2 linked regions of the Saccharomyces cerevisiae S288C genome follow. The main gene of each other region encodes a partner of the protein of the gene in region 2 in a complex. Each region holds a gene or a part of one and is shown on either strand. Other genes may lie near its edges. A codon is read from its position in the direction of its gene.

Region 1 (3,032 bases), on a different chromosome or scaffold from region 2:
TGTTTGGCCATCGCCTTTAGCGTACTCACTGGCACAACCGTGGTGGAAGCATATCTATCTACGCTATCCCAAACGCATTGCTCGACAACATTGGGAAGTTTTCTGCCATACAGGCACTGATCGACCAGCCACATACCCACAATAAAAGATTTCCTATCTAAAGTACCATCTTTTCTTGTGTCTACCTTCGTGTAAATTTCTGCCAATAGACTATTGGGCAAGTTAGACCGCTTCCAGATATCACGGACTATGATACCCAATATCAATCCATCTTCGGGTAAAGTATTAATTGCTCCGGAATCACCCGTTATAGAGGGCCACCAGCTCAACAGGTTCAAATGACGGTGTCTGTTGCTTACCCACATGCTTTCGTAACGCTTCCTTTCGTTGTCTGTTACGAAAGTTATATCTGTATGTGATTTCCAGGGTTTATCCTCATTGAATTTCCGATCTCTCGTGCGGTGGATAGGCCTATGATGTGCAGTTTTATTGGCAGAATTCCTGATCTTTCTCTTAATTCTATCTCTTTTGCGTGGCTTGGTCAAGGCGTCCTGGTTCTGATCAGATTCAGAATCAGAATCAGTATCGTCATACACATCATACGTGTCGTTGGACGGATTGTACTTATACCTCAGATTTCCCTCATGTAGAGAGGATGCATGATCATTTTCTGCGTTTGTACTTACAGAGGTTTTACGTAATGTTGTTTTAAATCTCATACTCGGTTGTTGTTCATGTTGTCCCAGTTCTTCGCTGCTTGCATCCATTTCATATTGTGAAGATAAGTGCTTGGGCTTACTACCAAATACTTTCCTTTTGAACTTGTTAACAAGCTTCTTCTTCCTCATATCGGATGAATAGTTCGGAACCAAGTTGGGCAAACCACTTCCCTGGTTGCTCGTTGTAGTAGTAGTGTTTGAGCTTGCAATAGATGGCTCTGATTCACATAACGAGAGTTGATTAATTGTTTGAGATAGACTTGTTTGTGACCTATTAGAAATAACGTCTGAAGTGTCCGGATTGAGACTATGTCTGGAATCGATGCTAATTGATGATAGGTTTTCATTTTCATGAAGCTGACCACTGCCGACAAGTGATGATTGCAAGGGAGGAGACGGCCTGCGTTTGGGCAGAGCTTTGTTGCTGTCTTTATTAGTTGCAGGCTCCATAGAGCTCGAGGATAGCCTTCTACCGCTACTAAAGGAAGTAAGTAAATTCTCTTGAGATCTATTGTCGGGAGTTCTTTGGCCAGGCGTCAGTGATTCATTGGAGCCGTTTCTTGAGCTTGAGCGTGAATGAATGCCCAGCAAGCCATTCAAGTTCGGAGTTTCTAGAACTTTTAGTGTATCCAATGCCGAAGAATGGGAGGAGTTATTGTCAGAACTAAGTTTCGATTGTGAATGCGCTAAAGCAGCTGCCATTTGAGCAGTACTACTAACATTATCTTTACCTGCAGGGCTTGACCTGTGTTTCTTAGACAACTCAACATCATTAGGCGCCGTTGTTTTAATCTTAGGTACCTGTTTTGTTCGTATGCGTGCCTTCTTTTGTTCTTGTTTCCGCCCTGACTTTTGTAGCGATGGCTCTGATAACCTAGTTTGAGGATTCCTGCTCACCGTTACTGGAGGGCATGGACTGCTGACCTCATTGGAATGGTTCTGGAAGATAGCTTGCGCAGCGCGAAGGGAATCTGAAGCTCCTTGTTCAGTCAAAGTTACTGTTGTACCGCCATGATAACGCTGTTTACCAAACGAAAGTCTCATACTCCTCTGCTAATCTTTTCCTATGTCAAAAAAATGAATCTACCCAGGCCTTAAAAGTATGTTCTACCTGTGCAACGAGAGTGTTGTTGTGGCAAGGGTCCATTACACAATGGGCCTTTTTGTGATGATTCAACTTCGATATGCTTTATACGAGAAATCATCGAATTTTCGCTGCGTGGAAACAAGAGGCAGTAAGTTGTACGTATAGGTGAGGCTCTGCATAGAAGAGGCGTATTTGCGGTGAGACGGAATCTGACGAGGATATTAAGTACAGATGGCAGAACAAATTAGTCACAAAAAGTCCCTGAGGGTGAGCAGTCTGAACAAAGATAGAAGATTGCTCTTAAGAGAATTCTACAACTTGGAAAATGAACCGAATAAAGGTCGTCAAGAAGCACGTATAGGGGAAAAAGCCAGCGAGGCTCATTCTGGGGAGGAGCAAGTCACAGATGTGAATATAGATACCGAAGCAAACACTGAGAAACCAGTGAAAGATGACGAATTGAGTGCAACTGAAGAGGATCTCAAGGAGGGGTCAGAAGATGCAGAAGAAGAGATAAAGAACCTGCCCTTTAAGAGGCTAGTACAAATTCACAATAAGCTCTTGGGCAAAGAAACCGAGACTAACAATTCTATCAAGAATACCATTTACGAAAACTATTATGACCTAATAAAAGTCAACGACCTTCTCAAAGAAATTACAAACGCCAATGAAGACCAAATTAACAAGTTGAAGCAAACAGTAGAATCTTTAATCAAGGAACTGTAATTTCCAGCGGCATATCGTGGCTTTCACCGAACACTTCCTTCGAGAGAGTGCATTTTACTATGTGAACCAATTTTTCCTCTTTTTCGGTTTGCAAGTTCACCTGAAAAACTGCTTAACACTACTAGCAATTGCCCTATTGTCGTACGAGGACTTTGCCAAATGTATTCCCGGCTGTTTGTAGTATATATACGCAGATATATAATAGCGCCGTCTTTTTACCTCTTTGAGCGAATTGCCAAATATTGACTCTTTTGTCTTATTTCGCTATCCCCATCTTATCAAAAATGGGAACAACTCGTTGAAATAAGAGACAAGCAACAAGAAAGACAACCAACAGAAAGTTCCATTCCGCACAAATACGCTGGAATCCCATAGAATATTGCTTGTTCCTCTATGACTACATGCTCCAATTCAATACAGAAAATGATACTGTAGCTCCAGTGTTTCCCATGGAGCAAGATATAAATGCAGCACCTGATGCCGTCCCACTGGTGCAGACA
Region 2 (3,459 bases):
GATCATTCACATCATGAACCTACTGATATATCCTTGACTATTGCACCACAGTCCCTACATACAATTGACGTAATCAACGCCCTATTTGATCAGGAGGGTATTCGTGGTCTATGGAAGGCCAACAACACGACTTTTATTTACAACTTTCTTTCCCTAAGCATAGATACTTGGTTCACAGGATTACTCTCGTCTTTTTTGGGTGTCCCTGACCCATATTTTATGGAGGTCATCAACTCTCCTGATATTTCTAAGTCCTTCATTTTAGCCTTAGGCGCGGGAGTATTTACCAGTATTATATTATTACCTGTGGACCTGATAAGAACTAGATTGATAGTTACATCATTCAAAAAAAAGAAGAATGTCAAGACAGATGGAAAGAATATGGTTACTAATACTAGAAGCTTGAGGCAGTTAATCAGATGCTGGTCATGGCGTAAAAACGGAGTTTCCATTCCATTAGATATGTGGTCCCTAACTATTCTTCAATCTATCAATAATAGCTTTTTCAACAAATTGTTTGATTTAGTCATCTACAACCAATTCCATATCGAAAAATACTCTCAAACCGTCATGTACAATACTATGAAGTTTTTTTCTAAATCACTTGAACTATTTATCAAGTTACCATTGGAAAACCTGTTACGTCGTTGTCAACTAAACTACTTGTTGAACGATCAGCGGTTATCATTTAAAGTAGATTCCACTGAATTGATAGTAAAGCCAAAAAAATACAATGGCATATGGGATGTGATAAGAAACAATTCTAATACAAATAGAGGCCAACTTTGGAACGGTTGGAAAGTTGGCGTTATTAGTTTAATTTGCGGATATGGGTTACAAATGATGAATAAAGTTGATATCAACATGGAACAAGAGAAGTTCTGAACTGGGATAGTCCCCCATTTTTTTTTATGTTCGCCCATGGTATTCCAGTGGCCCTTTTTCTCCACAATTTTTGTATCCAATTTTCCTCCACCACTTGTCTATATCCAAAGGTTTAATAGTAAGGAAAAATAAATACACATGTATATTTATATAATTATGGTTATCATTTACTAGCATTACTCTCTTTTTCTCCACTCTTCAGTATATTGCTCTGCTCGATTAGATATTCACCTAAAACACGTAACGGATCTTCTGGTTGTTGTACGGCTATGAGCCTCATGCCCGCTAATAAATGCGGTGTCACATTTGTATTCAGGTATTTTCTAGTTTGTGAACCACCTACCGTCGCGGCAAGGTTCACATTTTCTAATTTTGATATTTTAGGTTCAGATGACTCTTCAATGACTGAATTTGTGCTACTCGATTCTTCTATTTTTACATTTTGGTTGGTGACACTTTTGATGTTTTTCAAATCTTTCGTTGCAGAAGATGGTACACTGTCAAATTGTAAGTTATCAGAGTTATTATTGTGATTGCCATTCATATCGAAGCATTCATTGTCATGTTTATCGTAGTTCTTATTGTCTTCGCGTTGAATTTGCTCCATTGGAATATCAGCATTACTTGAAGTATCCTCTACCATAGGAACCGTAACTTCATTATGTTGGGGACTATTCTCACTTTCATTCATTGTATAGGTTTCCCTAATTCTCTTAAGAGAACCTGCTTATGAAGGCTTTTTTTTGTTTGGATCACCATCTGTTTTTCTTTTTTTATCGAGTTTTTAATTATCCACGAGATATTCGAACCTACGACATAAAGTAGTAAATATCAGAAGATAGGACAATTCGAAGCACACAACACAGAACATATACTAAAATTATATTTGCTGTCTTTCTGACAAGGTTTGTGAACATTTTAATTTCTACGTTTTCCCTGTAACTGAAGTAAACGTGAAAGACGTTTAACTGTAAAATTGTATTGCTAAGATCCTTTCTTTAACAAATGAACAACAGTGAAGATCCGTTTCAACAAGTTGTTAAGGACACCAAGGAGCAATTGAACCGCATAAACAATTACATAACTCGTCACAATACTGCTGGTGATGACGATCAAGAGGAGGAAATACAAGATATTTTAAAGGATGTTGAGGAAACAATAGTTGATTTGGACAGAAGCATAATCGTAATGAAAAGGGATGAAAACGAAGACGTGAGTGGTAGGGAAGCACAAGTTAAAAATATAAAACAGCAACTTGATGCTCTGAAGTTGCGTTTTGATCGAAGAATACAGGAATCTACTCAAACAACTATTCCTCTAGAAGAGACGGTGGAAAATTCAACACTTAACACCAGCATGGCTGAGAACAATGATGGTGGTATGTCCAATCCGTTTCAGGAACAAATGTTAAGAGAACAAGATGTTCATTTAGATGGTATTCACAAGACAATGCAAAATTTGCATATTCAAGCTCAAACAATGGGGGATGAATTAGAGAACCAGGGACAATTGTTGGATAATATGGACGAGGGTATGGACGGTGTTGTAAATAAGCTGGCTAGAGGTCGTAGGCAATTGGAATGGGTCTACGAAAAAAATAAAGAAAAATACGACGATTGTTGTATAGGACTTCTTATTGTCGTCTTGATAGTTTTATTAGTTTTGGCATTCATTGCTTGAAAAATACAATGCACTAATGCCGAAGAGCTTCAATCGAAGATATACTGGGCATATATAAAATACATGCATTCTGAATACATAAGTGATACGGATATTAATGCTACAAGGGTTTGGATATGATTTATATGTTGGTTTTTCTGGATCGTCAACAACTCGTGCATATTTTTTTGTTTCGAAGTAGAGGAACCACAAATATTATTAAAGCGTGTTATTTTTTTTTCTTACTCTTCTGTAAACTTCTAAATGCTGCTGAGGCACCCCTACTAGCAATTTCCCTATCAAAGTTTGTTTGGCTGTTATTAAGGGTATGTAAGACCTCGTATCTGCTGCTACTGATCACCATGTTAGAAGGAGCAGAATACTTTTCTCTCGTAGTTGGGAATTCCATTTGCGGAAGTGGAGGTGAAGGTGTTGGCTGTCGATATCCTGTTGTTTTGATTTGAGGCTTGGTCGTAGAAGATGAAGGAGAAAATACGGATGATCCCTGCTTCTTCGAAGTTAAAATATTATGCTTATTGTTCCCTACATTAGTAGAAGGCCTATGATTAAAAGCTGGGACCGAACCGTTGGTATATGTATTGGTAGAAGGTGCACTATTTGGTAATCTTCCATTCATTTTTTTCGGAGTTTCACCAGCGTTATTGCTTGACAAAACCCTAGGATGTCTTGAAGAAGGAGTGGAATTTGCACCGGGCCTATCCTTGGTACTACTAGGTATGCGAAAAGGTTTTTCTTCTCCAACATTATCGTTTTGTGGTGCATTGTTCTGGCTTCCATTTTTTGCAGTATAGCTGAGTGTTGTTACATTATTTCCTATACTCAGAGGCCGCTCTTTTCTTGAAATAGGCGGAGGTGATGATGGTTCACTCGATGCCTTACTATCAAAGGAAACGT

What was found. Proteins that work in one complex are often made in the same cells at the same time.
Region 1: the proteins of TLG1 (region 2) and VPS51 are in contact, whole or in part, in a crystal structure (PDB 2C5I), measured with the Saccharomyces cerevisiae proteins. Residues at the interface, in NP_010756.3 of Saccharomyces cerevisiae: Pro7 (codon at 1,909), Phe8 (codon at 1,912), Gln10 (codon at 1,918), Val11 (codon at 1,921), Asp14 (codon at 1,930), Glu17 (codon at 1,939), Gln18 (codon at 1,942), Arg21 (codon at 1,951), Ile22 (codon at 1,954), Tyr25 (codon at 1,963), His29 (codon at 1,975), Asp34 (codon at 1,990), Gln37 (codon at 1,999), Glu40 (codon at 2,008), Ile41 (codon at 2,011), Asp43 (codon at 2,017), Ile44 (codon at 2,020), Asp47 (codon at 2,029), Glu50 (codon at 2,038), Thr51 (codon at 2,041), Asp54 (codon at 2,050), Leu55 (codon at 2,053), Arg57 (codon at 2,059), Ser58 (codon at 2,062), Val61 (codon at 2,071), Arg64 (codon at 2,080), Asp65 (codon at 2,083); in NP_012945.1 of Saccharomyces cerevisiae: Lys9 (codon at 2,062), Leu11 (codon at 2,068), Arg12 (codon at 2,071), Val13 (codon at 2,074), Ser15 (codon at 2,080), Leu16 (codon at 2,083), Asp19 (codon at 2,092), Arg20 (codon at 2,095), Leu22 (codon at 2,101), Leu23 (codon at 2,104), Leu24 (codon at 2,107), Glu26 (codon at 2,113), Phe27 (codon at 2,116), Leu30 (codon at 2,125).

The regions. Positions count from the first base shown.
Region 1 is NC_001143.9:476,301-479,332, forward strand, and holds VPS51 (Vps51p), read left to right. Parts: upstream 1-2,037; coding exon 2,038-2,532; downstream 2,533-3,032. Other genes in the region: IRS4 (Irs4p), read right to left, coding at 1-1,763; ALY1 (Aly1p), read left to right, coding at 2,934-3,032.
Region 2 is NC_001136.10:1,397,132-1,400,590, reverse strand, and holds TLG1 (Tlg1p), read left to right. Parts: upstream 1-1,890; coding exon 1,891-2,565; downstream 2,566-3,459. Other genes in the region: mitofusin complex protein UGO1, read left to right, coding at 1-885; SDC1 (Sdc1p), read right to left, coding at 1,049-1,576; protein kinase PKH3, read right to left, coding at 2,774-3,459.